4 linked regions of the Macaca fascicularis genome follow. The protein of the gene in region 1 binds, or shares a complex with, the protein of each later gene. Links are inferred from orthologs where the notes say so. Each region holds a gene or a part of one and is shown in the gene's direction. Other genes may lie near its edges. The genes, in order: AGT, ANPEP, REN and DPP3.

Region 1 (4,487 bases):
AGGAATACAAACGAACAGCCAGAAGAAGAGACACAAAGCGTGAGGTCCACAAGGGTCCTTTTTAAGAGACAGAGTCTCTGTCATCCAGGCTGGAGTGCAGCGGTGTGAGCATAGCTCACTACAGCCTCAAACTTCTGGGCTCAAGTGATCCTCCTGCCCCAGCCTCCCAAGCAGCTAGGACTACCAGTGCATACCACCATATCCAGTTAGTTTTATTTTTTGCACAGATGGGGGTCTTGCTATGTTGCCTAGGCTGGTCTCAAACTCTTGGCCTCAAACTATCTTCCTGCCTCAGTTTTCCAGAGTACTTGGGTTATAAATGTGGGCCACTGCACCTGGCCCCCAATCTTGATGGGGAGCAGGTTTCTGCATGGGTGTCAACCCCAGCTCCTTGAGAGTGCGGCCTGAAGTCCTTGGTCCCGGAGGCTCAGCAGGAAATAGGACAGTGACTGCATAAGCTTGTGAGAACCTGTGGCCAGGCAGCAGCAGCCGTTTGGCCAGGGCTTGTCTCCTGCAGCCCTCTTGCCCAGTACCCGGGCCTGCTTGTATTCCCCCACACGCGCCCCCCATGCTCTCCCTCTTGTTGGTGAGTGTCACTCAAGCCTCTGCCTCAGAAAAGCCCTTCTGCAGCTTCCAAGTCAGACCAGCTCCTCCTCCAGGTGCAGGCCCAGTGATATCTGTCCCTCGCCCCTCGCCAGCTTGCACAGGTGAATGCTTTCTGCATCCTGAAGGCATTTCGTTTGTGTCTTTTAATCTGGCTGTGCTACTGTTGGTGTTTAACAGTCTCCCCAGCTACACTGGAAGCGACCAGAAGGCACTTTTCACTTGCTCGTGTGTTTTTCCCAGTGTCTATTAGAGGCCTTTGCACAGGGTAGGCGCCAAATGGCTGTTGGGAGCAGCTGAAGGTCACACATCCCATGAGCGGGCAGCAGGGTCAGAAGTGGCCCCCGTGTTGCCTGAGCGAGACGCTCCCCTGCCCTCTGCCCTCCGCGCCTCCGGCCTGCATGTCCCCGTGGCCTCTTAGGGGCACATCCCAGGGCTGGGTCAGGAGGTCTGGGCGGTTGGCCTTAAGCTGTCACACACCCAGGGAGATGCTGCTGTTTCTGGGAACCTTGGCCCCCACTCCTGCAAACTTCGGTAAATGTGTAACTCGACCCTGCACCGGCTCACTCTGTTCAGCAGTGAAACTGTGCATCGATCACTAAGACTTCCTGGAAGGGGTCCCAGCGTGAGTGTCCCTTCTGGCGTCTGTCTTTCTGGCCAGCCTGTGGTCTGGCCACATGATGTAACCCCCCTCCAGCCTGTGCACAGGCAGCCTGGGAACGGCTCCATCCCCACCCCTCAGATATAAATAGGGCCTCATGACGCGGCCAGGGGAAGAAGCTGCCATTGTTCTGGGTACTACAGCAGAAGGTAAGCCGGGGGCCCCCTCAGCTCCTTCTCAGCCTTGTCCCTCTCAGACGTAACTGAGCTGTGGGCCGGGAGGAAAAGGCCGGGAGGGGCACTGGTGATGGCTGAAGCATCTCTCCCCTCCCATAAGACCAGTCATCTGGACGCAGGCTTTCTCCGCTCAGTGCCCACCCAGGGGTCTCCCAGGAGGAGCTGCTCCTCCTTAGCAATAGGACCAGATGGTCAGGTCTTCCTGCTTCGGCTGAGAAGAGTTAGGGTCCTCAGGGATGGAGCAGAGTCATCATGGTCAAGAGTCCACCAGGTCCTCTTGCCATCAGGAGGAACAGCAGGGCTTGTACAGGAAGTGGGGCCACAGGGAAGGGCTGGGCCCGGTCAGTCCCCAGCTGGGATCCCCAGAGTGGTCACCCTACCCCTCCCTCGAGACAGATTCCCTGACTGTGTCATCAGGCTGGTCACCATCTCTCTGAACCTCGATTTGCTCACCTATAAAATGGGACTAGTAACGATGCCTGGGCTCCCTCTCTCAGGGGCTGTGGTGCAGCTGAAGAGAACTAATACAACATGAAAGTACTTTCTAAGCTTTGGGATAAGCTAAAAGGCAGATTCCAATTTCATTCAAGGGCAGCGTAGATTGGTGCTTAAACTTGTGGATGACAGAGTCAGAGGGCCTGGTTCTGAGTCCTAGTTCTGTCTCTTCCCAGCTGTGTGACTTTGCACAAGTCACTGGACCTCTTTGTTCCTCTGGAAAAGAGCAGGAACCAATTCATTAACTACTTCTCCAGGATGCATTAGGTCCCGGGGACTGTCCTGGGAATGTGGGCTGTATTAGGAAACATAGCAGCAGGAACCCTGCTCCGGGGCTCACATTCACGTCAGGGCAAACAGACAAAGACGCTGGACAGCACAAGTGCGTAACTACATGGTACAGGGGTTATAAGGAGGGAAAAGGGGAGCCAGATGAGAGAGTTGAGAGTGCCCGGTGTGGTGGGGAAAGCTGCAGGGTGAAATACGGCACCAAGGAAACCTCAGGGAAGGTGAGGACTATGATGAGGTCAGAGGGGTTGATATAAGAACGATGCCCTGCAAATGACAGGCACCACGGGAGCGTGAGCCGTCATCTTCACCTGTAGCATTCAGCCTGGGGGAAGTAGGGAGACATAGAAGGGGCAGGTGCTGGCAAAGAGGCAGGGGCAGGAGGGGAGAAGGCGGAGGGGCGCTCCAGGCAAGGGTGTCAGGCCCGCCACCCCAGAGCACCATTACTCCCAGGACGCGGCTGCGTGCAGACCTGGAAACAGCCTAGGGAGCAGCCACAGATCACAACTGAGAACAAACGACAGTCTCTGCCTTAAAAATGGCCCAAGGAATTGCGTCTCTGGAGATGGTACCTGCGCAGGAGCAGCACAGTGAGTGGGCTGCACCGACCAGCGCCATCCAAACCCCGAACAGGTGGCGCTTGTCAGGCAGGACTTCCCAGCAGTCGGTTCCCACAGGTTTCCCCTGACGACCTGATGTGATGTGACTGTCTAGATTAGGTGAGAACTGGTGGCTCAGGCTTCTCTGCACAGACAGGCCTGCAAGCAGCAGGGAGAGTTTTCTGTTCTGTTTTTCCATGTCGTGAGGCTCTTCCTGAGAACAGCGGATGGAGTCAACGCATGGGGAGTGGGGTGAGGCGGTAGCTGAGGTCAGAAGTCAAAGTCTCTTTGGCATTTGAATGACTGAAGCAGAACGAAACACACCAGGTACTTCAGCAGTTGCACCGTGTTGAGGGCAGGTGCTGGTTACCGGTCTGGGGGGAAGCCAGCTGCTAATGTAAGAAGAATGACTGGGTGTGCTTAGGTGAGGCAGAAAAATCTAGGCATCAAGGTGGCCTCGAGTCAGTGATGACCTGCTACAGCTCCAAGGAAGCCTGGCGTAGCCCTGGGGGGACAGAAAAGGCTAAGCAGTGACGATATTGCAGTACACCCCCTCCACAAGAAATGAGTGAGATGTGGTACAAACTGTTAGAATTGAATGAATCAATAGAATCAACGTTCATCCCGTCAATCAGGAAGAGTCAGATGAAATGAATTAGCAGGGCCAGCCCAAGAACCTTGTCTTCTGGGGTCTCGGGGTAGTCTTCATTTGCAGCAGCTGAGGCTGAAGCCCAGTGGCAAGGCCTTTGAGAGAACATGGTGCCGGACCCGTGTCTAAGGCAGGGGTTCTAAACCCTGCTTACATATCAGAGCCACCTGAGAAATTTTTTTTTTTTTAATTTTTATTTTTTTAATCTAAGGAATCCAAGTATCAGTGGGCAAACCATGCTAGGTGTGCATGCCTTTGGGGCTCTGCAGGGGATAGCACTATGGAGGGATGGTTGAGAGCTGGTTTTGGGGTTGAGACACGTGGAAAAATACTTGGGCTTTGGGTTGAGCCTGTGGTGCTCAATCCTGGCTGCATATTAGGACCACAAGGAGATGAGAAAACCATTCCCAACCCTCACCCTAGGGCCCTTGAATGAGCATCTCAGGGGTCTAGGAGGCCTCCGCAAAGACCTACTGATTGGCACGTATGTGTTTTTCTAGGAGAGAACTTACAGCCGCAGGCAGGAGCATGTCTTAGTGTGCTTGGGCTGCCATAAGTACCACAGACTGGGAGGCTTCAACAACAGAAATGTATTATCTCACAGTTCTGGAAGCTAGAAGCCCGGGAGCAAGCCATCGGCAGAGTTGGTTTCCTCTGGGGCCTCTATCCTTGCCTTGTAGATGGCTGTCTTCTCTCTCTGTCCTCACATGGTCTTCCCTCTGTGTGTGTCCATGTCCTCATCTCCCCTTCTCATAAGGACACAGGTCATATTAGATCAGGGCTCACTCTCATGGCCTCATTTTAACTTAATCATCTCTTTAAAGATTCTGTCTCCAAATAATGGTCACATTCTGAGGTCCTGGGGTTGAGGACTTCAACATATGCATTGTGGCCATTGGGGGAGTTAGGACATGATTCAGCCTATATTGGTGCATTTTGCACTTGGATCATGTAGATATTTTCCATGGAGCTTAGAATCCATTTCTTTTCTTTTTTTGTAGACATGAATGGACTTA
Region 2 (4,611 bases), on another chromosome or scaffold:
GAGGCAGGGAGTCCATAAGGGCCCTGCTGTGTCCACATAAATGATGAGAATGGCTTTGACAAGTGCATCTTGCGATGGGGGAATGTGAGTAAATTGGATGTGGAATGAGGTCAGGCGGTGTCGAGGTCTGAGAAACTGGGCTGGTGGATGGGGAAAGTGACAATGAACATAATTTTCCTGTAAGGTGTGTATTTTATTGAGTATGGTAAGCAATATCTTCATTTCTACCAAGGATAGAAAGAGGCAATCATTGAGCTTTGGGTAAAAAAGAAGGGAATGATTTTTTTTTTTTCTTTTGAGTCGGAGTCTCGCTCTGTTACCCAGGCTGGAGTGCAGTGGTGCGATCTCAGCTCACTGCAACCTCTGCCTCCTGGATTCAAGCAATTCTCTGCCTCGGCCTCCTGAGTAGCTAGGAATACAGGCGCTTGCCACCACGCCCAGCTAATTTTTTTGTATTTTTAGTAGAGATGGGGTTTCACCATGTTGGCCAGCCTGGTCTTGAACTCCTAACCTCGTGATCCACCCACCTCAGCCTCCCAAAGTGCTGGGATTACAGGCATGAGCCACCGCGCCCAGCCGGGAATGATTTTTAATCATTATACTATTTGGTGTTTAATGTGTTTTCTCATTAAATCTGTTCAACAAACCTGAGAGGCAAATACTGTTATTTATTTATGAGGAGAGAGGTTCAGAAGGGTAAAGTTACCTGCTCAAGGTCACAGCTGGAAAGAGATGAAGCCTTCAGCAAAAAAGCAAAACAACTCAATTCATTTTATTCCGTGAGCTGATAATGGAGGAAAAAGTATTTGGCAAGAAGGGGCAGGGAGGGGAACCTGGAGGAACTCCGTGCTCTTGAAGAATGAAAGGGAGGCTGGGACCTTGTCACTGAGGAGCTCCTGGCATCCTTCCAGAGATACAACCAAAGGGGTGACCCCAGTGTGTTCTTAATAGGAGCCAGGAACCCTTCTCTGTGCACCTCCCATCTCTCGCCTCTGGGAAGTCCTTTCCTGACTCTAACCTCAGTTCTGATGCTGTTCCCACCCTCTCAGCTCTCAAGCAGATCAATGCAATGCCACCTGGCCACTTGCTCTGCCTGCTGGGCCCTTAGCCGGCAGCCTGCCCTTCAGCCCTCAGGCCTGATCCCAGGCTGCCTGCAGCCTGTAACCAGACACTGTTTGCTTCCAGCAGGCACCCCCAAGCCCAGCTCTACACACTGTTCCTGGATCTTCTCTCCCCAGGCAGAGTGTGCCCCTGCCCAGTCCAGTGACCTTCGCCTGTTGGAGCCCTGGTTAATTTTTGCCCAGTCTGCCTGTTGTGGGGCTCCTCCCCTTCAGGGATATAAGCCCAGCCTGGGGCTGCTCCGTTCTCCGCCTGGCCTGAGGCTCCCTGAGCCGCCTCCCCACCATCACCATGGCCAAGGGCTTCTACATTTCCAAGTCCCTGGGCATCCTGGGGATCCTCCTGGGCGTGGCGGCCGTGTGCACGATCATCGCACTGTCAGTGGTGTACTCCCAGGAGAAGAACAAGAATGCCAAGAGCTCCCTCGAGGCCTCCACCACCCCGTCTGCCTCAGCCACCACCAGCAACCCCACCTTGGCCACCACTTTGGACCAAAGCATACTGTGGAACCGTTACCGCCTCCCCAACACGCTGAAACCCGATTCCTACCAGGTGACGCTGAGGCCGTACCTCACCCCCGATGACAGGGGCCTATACATTTTTAAGGGCTCCAGTACCGTCCGTTTCACCTGCAAGGAGGCCACCGACGTCATCATCATCCACAGCAAGAAGCTCAACTACACCCTCAGCCAGGGGCACAGGGTGGTCCTGCGTGGAGTGGGAGGCTCCCAGCCCCCCGACATCGACAGAACCGAGCTGGTGGAGCCCACTGAGTACCTGGTGGTGCACCTCAGGGGCTCCCTGGTGAAGGACAGCCAATATGAGATGGACAGTGAGTTTGAGGGGGAGTTGGCAGATGACCTGAAGGGCTTCTACCGCAGCGAGTACATGGAGGGCGATGTCAAAAAGTGAGTGTCGGCTGGGCTACCCGGTGGGGTGGATCCGAGGTGCCGAGGCAAGGCTGGATTCTGAGGGCCAAGGAAGGACTTAACTTGCAGGCCTTTGAACCCTGTGGAGCCCGAGGCTGGCCCATTGCTTCACCTCCAGCTGCTGGCAGAGCAGCTGCCAACACACCAAACTGGGAGGGCTTCCCCACCCCTCACCAGGAAGCTGGGGATGAGGGACGGAATGTCCCTTGGACAGGCAGGAAAACTGAGGCTCAGAGGAGAGAAACTCACCAGAGGTCCCTGAGAGCCTGCTGGCACCCCAAATCCAGAAGGAGCCCCAACCCCCACCAGTCAGCTGGCTTGGCAGGGCTCTGGAGGCTCCCAGGGGAGGCGGGAGCGGGAGCAGGAGAAGGGGTTAGGCTGGGGCAGCCTTCCATGTACCCCTTTCCCTGCATGACTGGTAGCATCCTCAGATCCCCTCCCATACCCTCAGCCCTGGCATACCCTCTAACTTTTTGGTTGGGGCAGGGTGGTGGCCACAACACAGATGGAGGCCCCAGATGCCCGGAAGTCCTTCCCATGCTTTGATGAACCGGCCATGAAGGCCGAGTTCAACATCACGCTTATCCACCCCAAGGACCTCACAGCCCTGTCCAACATGCTTCCCAAAGGTGAGTGGGCCCTGCCTGAGGCCACACGGCCAGGGGGCAGGCACGCTGGGGCTGGGGTATGGGGCAGGAGGGTGCATCCTCACACACGCATGCTCTGTGCCCAGGTCCCAGCACCCCACTTCCAGAAGACCCCAACTGGAGTGTCACCGAGTTCCACACCACGCCCAAGATGTCCACGTACTTGCTGGCCTTCATTGTCAGCGAGTTCACCTACGTGGAGACGCAGGCATCCAATGATGTCTTGGTATGAGGCTGGGCCCATCTCTCCTTCACCTGGGCTGGCCCTGGCTTGAGGGGTCTTCCTGTTCTCTTCATCCCTGTACCAATTTCTGAATCGTTAGGCCAGGGTTTGAATCCCAGCTCTGAGTGATTTCGGGCAAGTGTCTTGTTCTTTGGTTCTCTATTTCTGCACCTGAAAAGTGAAAACAATGGTTTCTCCTCATGAAGGGAGTTCTGACCCGCCAGTACCAGACAGACGGTGGCTATGATAATTGGTATTCTCCAAAGGCCCTTCTCTAGGACCCACAGCTTCCAGGCCCCCCTAGTGTTCCTTCTGCTGACCAGGTCTCTAGGTTTAGCTTGATTGACCCCCAGCCCTGGCCCATCGGGGATCCCCCTGGCCCACTGGGCCCTGGGACCCAGCCCACCTGCCCCAGGATCAAACAGGGGCCCCTGGCCTGCTTCTTCCTCACACCTTGCAGATCCGGATCTGGGCCCGGCCCAGTGCCATTGCGGCGGGTCACGGCGATTATGCTCTGAACGTGACAGGCCCCATCCTTAACTTCTTTGCCAGTCATTATGACACACCCTACCCACTCCCAAAATCAGGTGAGTGGGGGTCCTCGAGGAGGGAGGCAGTGGTTGGAATTCCACTCCCGGAGGCCATCCTGCCAATGGCCTCGCCTCCCCAGACCAGATTGGCCTGCCTGACTTCAACGCCGGCGCCATGGAGAACTGGGGACTGGTGACCTACCGGGAGAACTCCCTGCTGTTCGACCCGCTGTCCTCCTCCAGCAGCAACAAGGAGCGGGTGGTCACTGTGATTGCTCACGAGCTGGCCCACCAGGTAGACCCCCATCTCGGGGAGTGCAGAGAAGGAAACGGGGGCTCCAGGAGGAGATGGTGCAGGTCCAGGCTCCGCCCCAGGCTGCTGAGAAGGGAGGAGGGTGCCGCCTGACAGGGCAGCAGGAAGGGGTCACGATGGGGTTGGTGAAATCCCCACTGTGCCTGGCAGGTGGCCAGCCCTGGGGAGGGTAGTTCTGGGGACTCTCAGTGCCTGGCCTGGGCGTGGCTTGCCCAGCTGACCCCTCCCCCCACAGTGGTTCGGGAACCTGGTGACCATGGAGTGGTGGAATGACCTGTGGCTGAACGAGGGCTTTGCCTCCTACGTGGAGTACCTGGGTGCTGACTATGCAGAGCCCACCTGGAACTTGGTGAGCAGCTGCCCTGGGGTCCAGTCGGGGGGTGTGGAGGGAGACCTGGGCCACCGCTACCAGGCCAGTGTCCTGATGGCCCTGGGGAATTTGCAGAAAGACCTCATGGTGCTGAACGAAGTGTACCGCGTGATGGCCGTGGATGCACTGGCCTCCTCCCACCCACTGTCCACTCCTGCCTCGGAGATCAACACGCCGGCCCAGATCAGTGAGCTGTTTGACTCCATCTCCTACAGCAAGGTGCAGCCCACACCTCGTGAGACACAGGGAGGGAGGTGGGGACTTGGCCTGGAGGGGCCTCGCTGAAGCTGGGGTCTGGGGGCACAGGGTCCTGGTGGCTCAGCACAGCCTTCTGAGCACCCCCTCACCCCCTCCCCAGGGCGCCTCAGTCCTCAGGATGCTCTCCAGCTTCCTGTCCGAGGATGTATTCAAACAGGGCCTGGCAGTGAGTACCGCACCCTGGGTCAGCCATGAGGGTGGGTCTCCTGCCCCTGGCCCTTG
Region 3 (4,001 bases), about 44 Mb from region 1:
TCTCTCCAAGGACAAGGTGCATGGTACTCTGAAGATGCTGGCATCTCTCTATGCCCAACCCAGCTCAGGGGATCCTCTCCACCACAGCCCTGGTTGGGTGCCTGTCCCCCTGGTGTCCTGGAGACCTTGCAGCTGCTGTGGGCATCTGCTGCCACCTAGTGGCCTCCCATGGCACTGTCTCCCCACCAGCCCCTAGTTTTGACAGGGGCACTCCCTGGCATTCATCTCTTCAGAGGGAATGTCTGTGCCTATTTCCCGTCTGTCCTCCTGCCAGCTGGAGTTCCTTAAAAGCAGTCATGATCGTTATCTTTCTAGCTCCAGTTTCCAGCACAGTGAGGCACAAAGTAGTTGTTCAGCAGGGGATTATGGAATAAATGAATGAACGGACCAATAAACAAACAGCCTTGTCTAATTAAAATTAGGCAACAGAAGGAAGTCACTTCAGGGTTATTTAATCCGCGGGCAGCTGACTCCTCTAAATTGACTCTTGACAAGAGGTAACTCTTATAAATGCTCCAGAGGCCTTCAGGGACAGAGGTGATTTCCAGGTGGCTGGGCTAACATTAAAGGTGGTTGTACTAAAAGCAGGGATTTGGCCTCAGGGACTCTACCGTTATGGTGGGGGTACAGCACTTTTCTATTTTTGCTTCCTCCACCATGAGCCAGGATCTTCCTCAAGAGGATGCCCTCAATCCGAGAAAGCCTGAAGGAACGAGGTGTGGACATGGCCAGACTTGGTCCCGAGTGGAGCCAGCCCATGAAGAGGCTGGCCCTTGGCAACACCACCTCCTCCGTGATCCTCACCAACTACATGGATGTGAGTGCCTGGCCCAGCCCCTCGCTCCCTCCTTCCCTGTCTCCTTTCCCCCACGGACCTAGGGCTTTCTTTGCCACAAGACTCTCCCTTCCTATGCTGTGTTTGACGAAGGCGCTGAGGAACATTCCCATTTTCTGGTTGGAAAGCCTGAGCACAGAAGACAGGAAAGCACTCAGGGGCCATTCAGGGGCAGGGTTAGGTTTGGAACTCAGCCCAGGCCTTAAGCCAGGTGTCACAGGTGGGTGGGAAGGGGTGTGTGACTCAGGTGGGGGTTTCTGTGACCTGGTCCAGCACAGTCTGACGGCTTCCTGCCCCAGTAGATTCTCAAGGGTCAAGTTCGCATCCTGCTTCATTCTCAATGTTTTGATTTCGCCATTTTGTCTTACTGAGATTCCCACTTTCTGGGATGCCATGGGGCGATGCTAAGCCTCCTACCAGTTCCTGCAGGACAGCAGAAACCCCGAGAGGCTATAGGACCTCACCTGGGCGAAATCTTACCCTGACAGCCAAGAGTGAAGCCAGACAAGACCCCAAGACCCTGAGCCCCTCCAGCCCTCTCTTTTTACCCCCACAGACCCAGTACTATGGCGAGATTGGCATCGGCACCCCACCCCAGACCTTCAAAGTTGTCTTTGACACTGGTTCGTCCAACGTTTGGGTGCCCTCCTCCAAGTGCAGCCGTCTCTACACTGCCTGTGGTGAGATCTAAGACCCACAGTGCCTCTCCCCAATCCCCCTGCCCTACTGTGCATGAGCAATCCTGCCCCACACCTAGCTCCCATCCCTCTTGCCACCAAGGGAGTGCCTTCCTCTCTGCCTCTGTACCCACTGACCCTGACACTTAAGGGAGAGAGGAAGATGTCTCCCATTTTTCTGATATAGCCACCAAGGTTTTTTTTAAAAAAAAAAAAAAAAGAAAGCTCCAAGAATCCCTGACCACCCAGAAGGCTACTTCCCAGTCTTCCTGAGATTGAGACAGGACTGAATTCTCAAACCCATCCCAGGCACTCGGAACTCTTCCATCCCTAGTCTTAATCAACAACCTCTTACTGGGCACTTACTCTGTGCCCAGCATCTTCTCTGGTGTTATCAGTGTTAGTGATTACTTTACATTCCTTCATTTAGGACAAAATTATCGAGGTATGGGCACGTTAGGGGGGCCCAAGAAACCCAGTCCTTGATTGATGAAGCACATATTCCAAGCCTCCTGACCCTAGAGTCACTCGTCCCTGTACCTAAGCTAAGTCCTAAGCCACACCAGCCATACCCACAATGCACCCTGCCTCTGAGTCCCCCTGTCTGGGCCACTCTTGGACAAACCTAAGCCTCTGTCCCCCTGCCAGTGTATCACAAGCTCTTCGATGCTTCGGATTCCTCCAGCTACAAGCACAATGGAACGGAACTCACCCTCCGCTATTCAACAGGGACAGTCAGTGGCTTTCTGAGCCAGGACATCATCACCGTAAGTGGGGTTGCCCTAGGTCATCTGCTCCCAAACCCTTCTGTCCCCAGGCCTCTCCTGACCCTCCAGGGGCCATACCTGCGGGGAGGTGCACTGCAGCCCACTTGGAGCCTGGGGAGCTGAGGAGCACCCTGCTCTGCCACATCTGGCTGTTGCTGCAAAGCAGCAGTACCTATGGGGGAGCAAGCTTGGGCTACGGGCTTAACTGTTGGGTGGTTTATGGACGTTTTTGCATCTGACTTGCACGTAGGGTTGTCGTGAGCCCCATGGCTGCAGTCAAGTAACTTGCCCAAGTTCACCAGCTCTGACTGGGCTACACCCTAGACTAAAATCCAGGGTCAGGGTCAGGCTGAGTTTTAGGGTAAGGCATAGGTTTTAAGGTCACAGTTGAGGTTGACTCTGGGATTCAGGTCAAGTCCTGCTTTTTTTTTTATTTGGCCCATGTCTGACCCTTTCCTCATTCTGGAGTTTCTCAGGCCCTGCTCCATCAGAGTTAGGGGAGGGGCACACATGGGGCCTGACAGAAAATCAGGGTGATTCCTGCCTCCCTCCCTTTTTCTGTGAACTCAGATATAAAGAAGGGAGAAGGGCAAGGTTGGCTGTGCTGAAGAAACCCTTGCCCATGATAAGCGTGGGGGCCAAGACCTAGTCCTGCCGGGCACGAAAGGCGGGCCACTGGGGAGGGGGAGGCGCTCTTGGCAGCTTTCCTTTTGCTGCTTGGCAGGACCACCCTCTCAGCCTCTGCTGTCCAATCCCTGGTCAACTCCAGCTCTCTCTCGGCTCTGTGGCACAGACGTATTGGCATACACATTGGCGTACACAGAGTGTGTGCATGCAGAGTTGAGGAAACACTCTTACCCCAAATTCTGTACCCTGAAGCCTGTGTGGCCCTGGGATCCCTAGTGTGGAAGCCCAGACCAGACTCCAGCCAAGGAGCAGGCAGTGGGCTTGGTCTCCTCTGGTCCTTCCTCCCACAGGTGGGTGGAATCACAGTGACACAGATGTTTGGAGAGGTCACGGAGATGCCTGCCTTACCCTTCATGCTGGCCGAGTTTGATGGGGTTGTGGGCATGGGCTTCATTGAACAGGCCATTGGCAGGGTCACCCCTATCTTCGACAACATCCTCTCCCAAGGGGTGCTAAAAGAGGACGTCTTCTCTTTCTACTACAACAGGTGGGGACTGGGACTCCAGGGGCTGAGGTGGGGGGAGAGGAGGGGAGAAGAGCTGGGGAGTGGAAGGAGAGCCTGGGCCAGAATTGTTAAGCGTTTGTGATTAGATGACCGTCAATCAATATCTAGAGCTGTACTAGCCAATGTGGAAGGCACCATTGAAATTTAAATTAATTCAATACAGTTAAGCATCAATTAAGCATTCAACTGGTGGCTCTTAGTTGCACTAGCCACATGTCAAATGTCTGGCAGCCGCGGTGGCTAGTAACTACGGTTTTGGACAGTGCAGATAGAGAACATTCCCAGCTTGGCAGGACATTCTAATGGACAGTACCACTCTGGAGCAAGAGGAGATGCAAGGTGGGGATGATGGGAAATAAGGGATTACTGTGACCTGGAGCCCTGCCTGTGAGGGCCATGGCTCCTCCCACACAGAGACAGCCAACTTCAGTCATCCATTAGATCCTTCATTTGTTTGCCCACTCATCAGTTCAGTAAATGCTATGTGCCAAGCACTGTGCGAGGCTCTGGGGGTGCAGCAGTGAACACAG
Region 4 (3,455 bases), on another chromosome or scaffold:
AGGTCTCACTATGTTAACCAGTCTGGTCTCAAACTCCTGAGCTCAAGTAATCCTCTCACCTCGGCCTCCCCAAGTGCCCAGGATTGCAGGCATGAGCCACCATGGCTGGCCTTTTATTTATTTATTTACTTTTTCCATAGAGATAGGGTCTTGCCACATTGTCCAGGCTGGTCTCAAACTCCTGGGCTCAAGTGATCCCCTGCCTCCTCCTCCCAAGGTACTAAGATTACAGATGTGAGCCACCACACCCAGTTTAAAGTCTCTTTTATAAGGGCCTTAATCCCATTTGTGAGGAAGGAGCCTTAATGGTTAAGTTGAAACTTAACCATAAGTTTCAACAGCGGAATTTTGGAGGGGACACATTCAAACCATAGCACAGACTGTCCAGGGCTGACCACAATCAGCTGTGGCCTGTGGCAGAGCCCTGTGGACACCGGGTAAGTGCCCATCCTAGACATTTACTCCATCCTTCCCACAGGTGCTGAAGTCCACAGGGGATGTGGCCGGAGGGCGGGCCCTGTACGAGGGGTATGCGGCAGTCACTGATGTGCCCCCGGAGTGCTTCCTCACCCTCAGGGACACGGTGCTGCTGCGTAAGGAATCTCGGAAGCTCATCGTTCAGCCCAACACTCGCCTTGAAGGTAATGGACTCTTGAGCTCCCTTAATGAGCACCACACAGGGCCCTCTGGGAAGCAATAAGAACCCATCCCAGGGCTCAGGGAGAGCAGCCTGGGATGGCCCTTCCCTTTCTGCCAGGGTCCTTCCCGTGCCAAACCTCAGGCCCTAATCTTGGTATCGGTCACCACCCACCACCCCCCCGACACACACACAGTCATGCGAGTTCTAAGACAGTGACAGAAGATTTGAAGAATACCACCAGAGCAGGGGATAGCAGAACATGCAGACTTAGGGGGAAGCCAGGCATTTGTACCAAAGGATTAGACCTGTTGGGTACCCAGGCTGGGGGTCAGGTCAGGAGGGAGCTGGGACCCAGCAAGCCTAGTGAAACCCAGTGGACAGTGTGACTTGGTCGCATCTGGGATGGTGATCAACAGCTGCATCATCCCTCTTCCTTCTCAAGCGACAATTCCGGAGCCTCGCCCTGGCCACAAGGTGCTTATATCTTTTGAATTCAAACCCCCTGGGGACCCAGCCCCTGACTGCCTTCACTTTCCTCTCACCCCTTGATTCATCTTTCCTGCTGTTTGTCACTTGAGACACCTAAGATGATGTGGTGTTATGGAGTGGTTAGAGCACCAGCTTCAGAACCGCCCTCTGACCTTGGCCTAGTCATTTGACCTTTCTAGACTTTGGTGTCTTCATTCACAAAGCCATTGTGGACCGCTTGCTGATATTATAGTGAACCTGAATTCCTTCTTAGAGTTTCTAAGTGCTTTCTGGGGATTAACCTTTTAAATCCATACAGTAGCCCAATAAGGTAGGTATTTTTGTTATCCCCATTTTACAGGTAAGGAAACTGAGGCACAGAGAGTAATTTGAGTAATTTGCACAAGGCTTATGCCTTTTTAGTGGAGAAGCCAAGAGTCAAATTAAGAGTGGTTGAGTCAGGCATGGTGGCCCCTGCCTGTAGTCCCAGCTACTTGAAAGGGTGAGGTGGGAGGATCGCTTGAGCCTAGGAGTTCAAGACTGCAGAGCAAGACCTCAGCTCTTCAAAAAAAAAAAAAAAAAAGCATTGTCCTGGGCAGTTCTGAGGGTTAAATAGAATAATATTTGTAAAAAGTCATTACCTATTATTGGTGAGGAAAAAGCATTTATTTATTTGTTTTTTGGGTGGGTTTTTTTTTTTTTTTTTGAGATGGAGTCTCACTCTGTCTCCCAGGCTGGAGTGTAGTGGCGCAATCTCGGTTCACTGCAGCCTCCGCCTCTGAGTTCAAGTGATTCTCCTGCCTCAGCCTTCCGAGTAGCTGGGATAACAGGTGCCTGCCACCACACCCAGCTAATTTTTTTTTTTTTTTTTTTTTTTTGAGACGGAGTCTCGCTCTGTCGCCTAGGCTGGAGTGCAGTGGCACGATCTCCGCTCACTGCAACCTCTGCCTCCCGGGTTCATGCCATTCTCCTGGCTCAGCCTCCCGAGTAGCTGGGACTACAGGCACCCGCCACCGTGCCCACCTAATTTTTTGTGTTTTTAGTAGAGACGGGGTTTCACCGTGTTAGCCAGGATGGTCTCAATCTCCTGACCTCGTGATCCGCTCACCTCGGCCTCCCAAAGTGCTGGGATTACAGGCGTGAGCTACCGCACCTGGCTGCTAATTTTTTTTTTTAAGTAGAGACGGAGTTTTACAATGTTGGCTAGGCTGATCTTGAACTCCTGACCTCAAGTGATCCTCCCACCTTGGCCTCACAAAGTGCTGGGATTATAGGCGTGAGCCACCGTACCCGGCCTTATTTTTTTATTTTTAATTTTGTTTATTTATTTATTTTTTGAGACAGGGTCTCACTCTGTCACCCAGGCTGGAGTACAGTGGTGTGACCTTGGCTCACTGCATCCTCTGCTTCCGGGGCTCAAGTAATTCTGTAGCCTCAGCCTCCCGAGCATCTGGCATTACACACCCGGCTAAGTTTTGTATTTTTTGTAGAGATGGGATTTCTCCATGTTGGCCTGGCTGGTCTTAAACTCCTGAGCTCAAAGTGATCCACCCTCCTCGGCCTCCCAAAGTGCTGGGATTACAGGTGTGAGCCACCATGCCCAGTGGAAAAAGCTTTTATTTTATTTCTTTCTGAGATGGAGTTTCCCTCTTGTTGCCCAGGCTGGAGTGCAATGGCGCAATCTTGGCTCATTGCAACCTCTGCCTCCCAGGTTCAAGCGATTCTCCTGCCTCAGCCTCCTGAGTAGCTGGGATTACAGGCATGTGCCGCCATGCCTGGCTAATTTTTGTATTTTCAGTAGAGACAGGGTTTTGCCATGTTGGCCAGGCTGGTCTCGAACTCCTGACCTCAGGTGATCCGCCCTCCTCGGCCTCCCAAAGTGCTGGGATTACAGGCGTGAGCCACCGTGCCCGGCTGGAAAAAGTATTTATTAAGACGCTCATTCTAGATGCTTTTCCGTGCCCTCCAGAGGCTTCCTGGGATTTAGCCCCAACCCTTGCCAGCCTCACCACCTCTTCTCTGGCTTACTGTACTCCGGGCTCCCGACCCTTCTGTTTCTTCTACCCACTGAGCTCGCTCCACTCCTACAGCCTTTAAATAGGCTGTTCTTGCTGCTTGGCATGATCTTCCTCCAGATCTTTGCCTGTCTGGTTCTTTTTGTCCTTCAGCTCCTTGTAAAATGGCACCTTGTGAGAGAGGTTGTCTCTGACCCCTCAACCTAAAGTAACTGCTTCAGTCCCTCTCTATTCTGCCACCCAGCTTTATTTTCTTCATGTGCCCATCACGCTTGCCCATTTTTTTGGTGGTCACATCTCATGATGGGAGGAGCAGCATACACCAGTGCCTC

Evidence for each region.
Region 2: the proteins of AGT (region 1) and ANPEP are in contact, whole or in part, in a crystal structure (PDB 4FYS), measured with the Homo sapiens proteins. The link is inferred for Macaca fascicularis from reciprocal best matches to the Homo sapiens genes AGT and ANPEP. Residues at the interface, in NP_001369746.2 of Homo sapiens: Val27, Tyr28, Ile29, His30, Pro31, Phe32; in NP_001141.2 of Homo sapiens: Gln211, Gln213, Ala351, Gly352, Ala353, Met354, Glu355, Arg381, Val385, His388, Glu389, His392, Glu411, Glu418, Asn438, Arg442, Phe472, Tyr477, Ile864, Phe896, Ser897, Asn900, Gln903, Ala904, Arg907.
Region 3: the proteins of AGT (region 1) and REN are in contact, whole or in part, in a crystal structure (PDB 6I3F), measured with the Homo sapiens proteins. The link is inferred for Macaca fascicularis from reciprocal best matches to the Homo sapiens genes AGT and REN. Residues at the interface, in NP_001369746.2 of Homo sapiens: Asp25, Tyr28, Ile29, His30, Pro31, Phe32, His33, Leu34, Val35, Ile36, His37, Asn38, Glu39, Lys91, Leu92, Ala95, Met96, Met99, Leu100, Phe103, Arg107, Arg148, Ala151, Ile152, Gly154, Gln353, Gln354, Asn355, Asn358, Glu391; in NP_000528.1 of Homo sapiens: Tyr81, Met82, Thr84, Gln85, Val102, Asp104, Gly106, Ser107, Asn109, Ser118, Arg119, Leu120, Tyr121, Thr122, Val125, Tyr126, Leu147, Arg148, Tyr149, Ser150, Pro181, Ala182, Leu183, Pro184, Met186, Leu187, Ala188, Glu189, Phe190, Val193.
Region 4: the proteins of AGT (region 1) and DPP3 are in contact, whole or in part, in a crystal structure (PDB 5E2Q), measured with the Homo sapiens proteins. The link is inferred for Macaca fascicularis from reciprocal best matches to the Homo sapiens genes AGT and DPP3. Residues at the interface, in NP_001369746.2 of Homo sapiens: Asp25, Arg26, Val27, Tyr28, Ile29, His30, Pro31, Phe32; in NP_005691.2 of Homo sapiens: Phe109, Glu316, Tyr318, Glu329, Phe381, Gly385, Ile386, Pro387, Ala388, Gly389, Ile390, Asn391, Ile392, Asn394, Arg399, Val412, Leu413, Val415, Ala416, Phe443, Val447, His450, His455, Glu507, Glu508, Asn545, Arg548, Leu552, Glu555, Phe556.

What each region holds. Positions count from the first base shown.
Region 1 is NC_088375.1:18,386,288-18,390,774, forward strand, and holds the start of AGT (angiotensinogen), read left to right. Parts: upstream 1-1,375; 5' UTR 1,376-1,413; exon of another isoform or gene 1,414-3,149; intron 3,150-4,472; 5' UTR 4,473-4,487. UniProt on the Homo sapiens protein: Essential component of the renin-angiotensin system (RAS), a potent regulator of blood pressure, body fluid and electrolyte homeostasis.
Region 2 is NC_088381.1:74,267,290-74,271,900, reverse strand, and holds the start of ANPEP (aminopeptidase N), read left to right. Parts: upstream 1-1,365; 5' UTR 1,366-1,410; coding exon 1,411-2,027; intron 2,028-2,534; coding exon 2,535-2,677; intron 2,678-2,781; coding exon 2,782-2,921; intron 2,922-3,378; coding exon 3,379-3,505; intron 3,506-3,588; coding exon 3,589-3,743; intron 3,744-3,996; coding exon 3,997-4,110; intron 4,111-4,206; coding exon 4,207-4,350; intron 4,351-4,489; coding exon 4,490-4,555; intron 4,556-4,611. UniProt on the Homo sapiens protein: Broad specificity aminopeptidase which plays a role in the final digestion of peptides generated from hydrolysis of proteins by gastric and pancreatic proteases.
Region 3 is NC_088375.1:61,985,038-61,989,038, reverse strand, and holds part of REN (renin precursor), read left to right. Parts: intron 1-666; coding exon 667-817; intron 818-1,391; coding exon 1,392-1,515; intron 1,516-2,160; coding exon 2,161-2,279; intron 2,280-3,256; coding exon 3,257-3,453; intron 3,454-4,001. UniProt on the Homo sapiens protein: Renin is a highly specific endopeptidase, whose only known function is to generate angiotensin I from angiotensinogen in the plasma, initiating a cascade of reactions that produce an elevation of blood pressure and increased sodium retention by the kidney.
Region 4 is NC_088388.1:7,887,455-7,890,909, reverse strand, and holds part of DPP3 (dipeptidyl peptidase 3), read left to right. Parts: intron 1-478; coding exon 479-641; intron 642-3,455. UniProt on the Homo sapiens protein: Cleaves and degrades bioactive peptides, including angiotensin, Leu-enkephalin and Met-enkephalin. Also cleaves Arg-Arg-beta-naphthylamide (in vitro).